Linked DNA regions of Arabidopsis thaliana. The main gene of each other region encodes a partner of the protein of the gene in region 2 in a complex. Each region holds a gene or a part of one and is shown on either strand. Other genes may lie near its edges.

Region 1 (4,075 bases), on a different chromosome or scaffold from region 2:
CCATGTCCATGTGCCCATAGGGTTTTGTTTTGTGCAGCATTCCAAAGGGGACCAACAAATAAAATTGATGCTCTTTGGTTGTTAGTTGTAACTAGCTGGTAACAATTGATGTTTTCTGGAATCGTCCAACAAGTTTTGTTATCCATAGTAAGAGCGCTTGTTATAAACCACTAACAGTGATGAAAGTTGAGTGTCTTATCTTACACCATTTTAAACTTTTACCTATTATCATCTCTTGTTGTGCTATAGATGATTGGCTTACCAAAAGGTAGGGTAAGGTGAAAAAGGTAAGCTATTTAAATTCGTTTAAGACCAAGTCAGAATCCTCCAACTTGAATGATTTTGGTGGGGTTGCATTTTGGTGAGTGAAGCATCTTTTTCAAACAATGTAGAGGAAATAAAGAGGAGCCAAAAGAACTTGACTTTCTTACTCAGATTAATGGACACTAAGTCATGGATCCAAAGCATATATTATATCTCTATTGTGTGTTAACATGTCTCTTGAGTCTCTAAACTTAGTTTTCTCCAAAGATTAAAGCAAAAGCAAAGATGGGCTTCCTCTGTCACTAGTTTTGCTAACTCATCCTTTTCGGATAGCGACACTCTTCGTTTCCCACTCTTGGTTTGGTGGTTTCTTTAGGATTCTAGATTTTTGTTTTACTTATCTTTCCTTGTACAAGAGACTGTTTCTATAGGATTCTTCATTTCCTGTTTTATCTATCTTCTCTGTGCAACGAGAGTGTCATGGCTACTCTGTCTCAAATCGTCGAGGAGGAACTTGAACCATCACTAAGAAGCAAGCTTTCAAGAACAAGTGAAACCAGTCTCGCTTCTGTCGCATCGTTATCCATGCCACTTGTTCGTTACTCTCTTAACACTTTTGTCTTAGAATGATTCAACTCTGTGGATTCTTTTAATTGATCTTGTGTGTTATCAGATTCAGGAGATTGTTCTATCAGCAGACATCAGATGTAGTGACTGCCAAGAGAAAGTCGCCGACATAATGGCGAGGATGATCGGTGAGTATATAGCTTACTTACTTCCGAGATGAGACACTTTTTTGTTCTTTCCTCTCACGCTTGTTTCCTCTGTTTTCTTGGAGCAGAAACATATTCAATATTGGTGAGTGTGTTGGAGAAGAAAGTGACACTAACGTGTACATATTCCGGTGACCGGAGAGTCTCTAAATCCTATGGTGAAGCTCTTCTCTGCAAAATCTCAACCATCAAGCGTTTGATATGTCCTTCAAGGAAACAATAACTCAGAGTTGCTTGATGTTTGCTTTTATTATCATTTTCTCTTTCCAATAAAATGAATCTTTTATGTCGAATGTGATTGGATATTGTTTAGATAAACAAAAAACTCTCAATAGCAATAATAATCATAGACAAAGTGAATTCTTGAAATGCAGAAATCAAAAAAGAGATTATTGAGAAGTTAAATTGCCGCCACTTTGTTGCCAGAGATTGATGATATCAGTGGCTTGGTTTAGAAGAATGATCATCTTCTTCTGAGAGATCCATGGTTTAGCTTCAAGAGTAGACTTAAGCTCTTCCCAAGCATCTTTCCTAGGCCAGAAGAAGTAAGGACTAAGTGGGATTGTGCCATGTCCAGGTACATGTTGGTCCAATCCTAATCCTATGTTCTTCTCCATCCACACAAACTTGAGTACCACTCTTGATTTCTCATCTGGCTTCACCACCTAACACAAACAACAAAGATTTGTGGGTTTTGTAACACAAGAGACAAGAAGATGAAGAAGAATATGTTGTTTTTACCTTTATTGTTTGTTGTGGAGTGTTGTCGGAAGTATCAATTCCGGTGACTGTTTCAGCGGTGAGTGTCTCTGGAGCTGCTAGAGTTATGATTTTCCGTTTTACAGAGATGGGTTTGGTTGTTTGGGTATGGAACAATGGAGGAGAAGCAGTGATGGAGAGTTTTGGATGTTGAGAGATGAAAGAAGAGCAGAGGGAAGTAGAAGAGAGTGCCATTGATGACATCATTTTTGTGTTTTCTCAGAGAACAATGGAGATTTTGTGAGAATATGGATAAGGAAGATATGGTCACATTTTTGGGTGGAGTTTCAAAGTAGTTTGACTATCAAATTTATGGGCTTTGTTGACTTGGCCCATCATTAAATGGGTCAAGAATACAGAGTTTATTATAAGCCCATGAATACAAACCTGAAGCTTTGAGAAGTAGACTTTTAAAAATACAGACTCTGTTTCAAGTATTTTCGAGGGACTAATTCAAAGATCTCAACATATAAGTATTAATCATATCATATTTAATTCGAATGACATTTGACAGCCACAAGTATTTATACAAAAATTAAAAACCTCATCTTTGTTTAGTGTTCATGATTTGATCAAAGTCAATAAATTTTTTTGTGTGAAATAAATTTTTGTATTAATCAAAACACAATTTTTAACAAAATATAATTATCGATATTGTACGCTGCAAGATGTCCTCAATTTGTTTTATTTATTTATCAAAAACAAATAATTGTTGAGAAAGTGGCCTTTACATTATATATGTCACATGATTCTTTTTACATTATGTCACATGATTCATCTTAAAAAATCGTCTTCTTTATTTTCACAGGTTTGCTGAGGCCAAAGAAGAGTCTTTCTTTGGACTTGAAGTAGCACTGGATAGATGAGATGAGAAAGCCTTTAAGGAGAAAGACACCATGATGGTCATTCATGAACATCATTCGATGAGTATATATAGTAAAAGTTTGAAATACTTCTTACATCGTAGTTATTATATAATGTGCACACGATATTTTTTATTTTCAGCATACAATAATTGGATAAAACAATCAAACTCACCCAAAATACATAAATAATTGTTGTTTCTCAAAAAAAAGTAGGAAAAATCTCATGTGAGGGTGGGTACACTGTGTAGGGTAGGGCTTGGCTTTTGAGCATAGTTAGGAAGTAGTAAGATGCGATGCGGTAGTAAGTAGGAGTTTCAAAATGTCACATTCACACAAGTCACGACCATGAAACTTGTCGTCTCTTTGATACTTGCAACTTCTCCAAAACTGTGGGTCTGTAATTCAATTATTAGAGTCTTGAACTTGAAGAGACTTTAAGATATGTGTGTAAATTTGTTCACCGTCACATTATTGGTCCATTTACATTACACACGTCCACTATAGTTAATTCTCAGGTTGTTTATCCATAGATATCTGTTGTTATTTCTGCGACACTTTTACTGGTCACAATGAATTATGTTGATGTTTAGATTCAACAAAAAAACTTACTAAATCGGGTAACTATGAAAAAATATTATGTAGCTGAGCCAAAAAGGTAAAGTCTACAGTTTAAGAAACATTAACACATTGAACAGAAATTAAGAAATAATATAATTCTATTTTTAATTTTTTTACTGAATAACTAATAGTCACAAAAAATCATATTACGGCCTTACCGGTCCATTTATGCATTACTGGTCCACAAATGTAAATTCTCACGTTTTAAATTCCATCTGTTTCAAAAAATTTGGACACTTTTGGTGGTTAATATGTTAATGATTAGATTTCAACCAAAAACATCAAAGTTATAAATCGGACAATTATTAAAATTTGTAATGTAGATGCACCAAATTGTAAATTTTTTAAAAAAACTTGATTATTTAGAGATGATGAATCGAAGGCATGCATTAATTGCGTAGTACAAAACAAATCTTGATAAATAGATAAATAAACATCTTTCTATTCGTAAGGACGACAAGAATCTCTCAGGTTCTGTAGAATTGTCAGAATCATTTCTAATGGGAGGTAAAATGGGATCAGTACCGGAGCAAAACACAGAGAAGCTTCTCTGGCAGTCAAGCGACGTCGCTGATAGCCGTGACTCCAAGTTCCGGTGTTGCTCGTGGAGGGCTCTCTACGAGGCTCCGGCGAAGTTGTACGCGCTGGGACATTCTGATCGTAGGAAACTTTACTTCTCCATCAAGATGGGAATTGCTTTGGCACTCTGTTCTTTCGTCATCTTTCTCAAAGAGCCGCTTCAAGATGCTAGTAAATTCGCAGTTTGGGCGATTCTCACCGTCGTTCTCATTTTCG
Region 2 (4,085 bases):
CTCCTGAGATAGTGCAGATGCCAAAGACGATGAATTGAGTTCTTTTTATCTTTCTCTATTTTTTTTCATACCACCTATAATGATTGATAATTCACAAATTTTCAATTGAATTTTTTTAATTCTTGGAACTAGTTATCTTTCTCTATTTCTTAAAAAAAATTTCAATTGAAACTTAGGGAAGTACTTTAAGAAACATATGTATAAAAAAACATATTTTATTGAGTCCCTTCATGCCTACTATAACTAGTTATTTCGGTTTTCTACTAGCAGCTTTAACTATAACCTCAGTTCTGTTTATTGGTCTAAGCAAAATACGACTTATTTGAAATTAATTGAATGCAGATTTTTTTATAAAAAAGGATTTCGTTGGTATTTATTAATATGTTCGATAGTTCCTTACCGTGTTAATTACCAAATTTTGGTCATTGAGATTCATTGGCAATACAGATTAAGAGCTAGGAATAGATAGTACCTCTCTTTTCTCCCTTTCAAAAATGAAAACAAAAGAAAATTCAAATGATTGAAGTTTTTTTATTTGGAATCGTCTTAGGTCTAATTCCTATTACTTTGGCTGGATTATTCGTAACTGCTTATTTACAATACAGACGTGGTGATCAGTTGGACTTTTAATTAATTAACATCTCGTTTTTTTACTAACCTCCTTCTTGCTTTCCTATGCGGGAGGTCTAATTCAGACTGCTGCTCAGTAATTTGTGAACAGTGGAATTTTGATACAATCTATGAAATCACGCTCTGTAGGATTTGAACCTACGACATTGGGTTTTGGAGACCCACGTTCTACCGAACTGAACTAAGAGCGTTTTTCTTTTTTTTTTTTTCTAAAAAACGAAAAGGCTAGAAAGAGGGCATTCTTTAACCCGACTCGATTTTGTACGTATATACTATATCATACATAGTATATCATAAATTTCAGAATTAAATGTATGTCCGATAAAAAAAATTGATCAAAATAGATACCTCGTTACTGCTCTTCTGAGCAGTAATAGGTAGGGATGACAGGATTTGAACCCGTGACATTTTGTACCCAAAACAAACGCGCTACCAAGCTGCGCTACATCCCTTTCAATAGGTTTACAGTGTCATTGTAGAGAATTCCTGTCTTGTTTTCCACATCCTCCTTCTTTTTTATTGGTATATCAAATTCATTTCTTCTTTTTTTCTCATATCAGATAACAAAGATATAATTAAAAAATTTACTTTTTTTTTTTTTTTTATTCTCTCAATTTTACATAAATAGGCCTTTACGTTTTCAAATGGAATCGATAAGATCGTTCTAGTCGACAATATTAAAATTCTAATTTTGAAAGCGGGGGGACGGAAGTTACATATACAAATACAAGAACTTCTTAATTACATGTACATCTGTAATTATATATATTACTATATATAATGTAATACAATAAAGAAGAAAGAAGGAGGATTTCTAATGCGAGATCTAAAAACATATCTTTCCGTAGCACCGGTACTAAGTACTCTATGGTTCGGTTCGTTAGCAGGTTTATTAATAGAGATTAATCGTTTATTTCCAGATGCATTAACATTTCCCTTTTTTTCATTCTAGTTATTAACATCAGAAAGGGGTGAAAAATTTAGAGATACAATCAACAATCGGGGACTAACCCCCCCACCTTTTCTAATTAGTAGAATAAATTAGAAAAGGTGGGGGGGGGGGGGAAAGGTCATAAAAACGAGGGTTCAGGATCCAATGAAATTAGTAATAGAACGAAAAAAAGTGTTGCTAGGGAACCTATCAGATACTTAAAAAAACTACTGTACAAAGATTTTAAATATAGTTTTCACAAAATCATAAATCATTGTATTACTTATTTTTTTTATTTAATTACTAATAAATAAAATATTAATTGTAACGAAATATTTCAGAATTTTTTTTAGTTAACAGCTTCTATTTTTTTTGTTCTTGTTCTTTCTGGATCCTAAAATTAAAATAGAAGATTGAGGTGAATCATAAATCCAAAGGAGGTTTCATGGCCAAGGGTAAAGATGTTCGAGTAACAATTATTTTGGAATGTACCAGTTGTGTTCGAAATGATATTAAGAAAGAAGCCGCGGGAATTTCCAGATATATTACTCAAAAGAATCGGCATAACACCCCTAGTCGATTGGAATTGAGAAAATTCTGTCCCTATTGTTATAAACATACAATTCACGGGGAAATCAAGAAATAGATCAAATTGAGTGCTTGTATGTCAACTTTTATTTTAAGAACAGGAATAATGCTAGTATCTATATATTATTACATATATATAAATATAAACAAATAAATCAATAGAAAGAAATCTAATCCGATATTCTTAATTCTATATAGAAATTCTATCCTATATAGAAATAGAAATCGTTTTTATTTTGATCCGATCAAAATAGGATTTTAGAGATAAGGAATAAAAATAAAAATTATGAATAAATCTAAGCGACTTTTTACTAAATCCAAGCGATCTTTTCGTAGGCGTTTGCCCCCGATCCAATCGGGGGATCGAATTGATTATAGAAACATGAGTTTAATTAGTCGATTTATTAGTGAACAAGGAAAAATATTATCTAGACGGGTGAATAGAGTGACTTTAAAACAACAACGATTAATCACTATTGCTATAAAACAAGCTCGTATTTTATCTTTGTTACCTTTTCTTAATAATCAGAAACAATTTGAAAGAAGTGAGTCGACTCCTAGAACTACTAGTCTTAGAACCAGAAAAAAATAGACTTATTTTTCAATTGAATAACAATTCCAATCTGAAGGAATTAAAAAAGAGATTAATGTTTTGTTCAAAAAATCCAATCAAGAATAAAAATTTGATTGTTACGTCTGTGTCTATTATAAAAAAAAAAAGAAAAGAATCGTCGAAAAGCATAACTCGTTTTTTCGAAACTATATACTCTCGTTTTGTTTTGACGACTTTTTTTTTAATACTAATTTCTACTCTACCTTCCCCGAGCTCATTCTCCTTAGAACTCTATTTCAAATATTTTCGTGGATTTCTTCCAATCCCCTTATTTTTTTATGTCATTCGAAATTGTATAAAGACAACTCCTATTTAATAGAGCTATTTGTGCAAGTATTTTCCGATTAAGAAGTAATTGCTTCTTGTATAGATTGTGTATGAATTCATTATAACTATAGAATACCCCCATTTCGTGAATTACGGCATTTATTCGAGTGATCCATAAACGGCGAAAATCTCTTTTTCTTTTACCCCTATCCCGATGAGCCGAAACTAAAGCTCTTATTCTCTGTTGAGTCATAGTTCGTGTAAGCCGTGAATGAGCCCCTCGAAAGCTTGATGCAAATAAACGAAGTTTTGTTCTACGCCTCCGAGCTATATATCCGCGTTTAATTCTAGTCATTGAATAAATCAAACTTTGATGAATAACTAATTCTTTTTTTAGTTATTCTTTTCCCCTTTACTAGTCTATTAATAACCAAACGAATTATTCCAATGTATAAAAAAAATTCCAATGGCTTTTGCTACTCTAACCTTCCCCACCACTATTTTTTGCTAGGTATTTTCCTTTACTTTGAAAGGCCTTGATATAAAAAAATAGAATAACTACAAAACGTAGTAAATAGAATTGGATAAATAGTGGGTTCCATCGTTTCTATGGTTACTTCTAAAACGGTGAGGTCCTCTCTATACACCGGAGCTCCTTCTTTTAATTAATCAATACTATTGGTAACTTGTACAATTCACATTCTTTGGCTCTACCCCATGAATATTCCAGTAATAGGTCTTTCACAATGAGATCCCCTTTATACAGTAACGGTATTTCATTTTGAAAATTGATTAGGTCATTTACCCTGTTAGTCCGTTCTTTTCTTTCAAGAGTGAAATCTTTTTTCTAAAAAATGGAATTTCCCCCGCTTAATGGATACTCATTTGTTATCATTGGGGGTTTTCTAAAAAATGGAGTTGATTGGATTTGCACCAATGTAAACCATAAGTTTCAGACACAATAGAGTATATGAACGATCTATATTTTGTAAATAATGAATCGAGTTCGTCCATTCTATTTTATTCATAGGTACTGATCCGTGATATTTCAAAAAG

What was found. Proteins that work in one complex are often made in the same cells at the same time.
Region 1: rps18 (region 2) and PSRP3/1 share a complex: the UniProt entries of both Arabidopsis thaliana proteins name them as parts of the 30S ribosomal subunit.

What each region holds. Positions count from the first base shown.
Region 1 is NC_003070.9:25,756,167-25,760,241, forward strand, and holds PSRP3/1 (Ribosomal protein PSRP-3/Ycf65), read right to left. Parts: upstream 2,246-4,075; 5' UTR 2,004-2,245; coding exon 1,779-2,003; intron 1,703-1,778; coding exon 1,427-1,702; 3' UTR 1,261-1,426; downstream 1-1,260. Other genes in the region: AT1G68585 (uncharacterized protein), read left to right, coding at 745-858, 938-1,019, 1,106-1,260; AT1G68600 (aluminum activated malate transporter family protein), read left to right, coding at 3,781-4,075. UniProt on the Arabidopsis thaliana protein: Component of the chloroplast ribosome (chloro-ribosome), a dedicated translation machinery responsible for the synthesis of chloroplast genome-encoded proteins, including proteins of the transcription and translation machinery and components of the photosynthetic apparatus.
Region 2 is NC_000932.1:65,482-69,566, forward strand, and holds rps18 (ribosomal protein S18), read left to right. Parts: upstream 1-2,435; coding exon 2,436-2,741; downstream 2,742-4,085. Other genes in the region: petL (cytochrome b6/f complex subunit VI), read left to right, coding at 231-326; petG (cytochrome b6/f complex subunit V), read left to right, coding at 517-630; psaJ (photosystem I subunit IX), read left to right, coding at 1,448-1,582; rpl33 (ribosomal protein L33), read left to right, coding at 2,007-2,207; rpl20 (ribosomal protein L20), read right to left, coding at 3,031-3,384.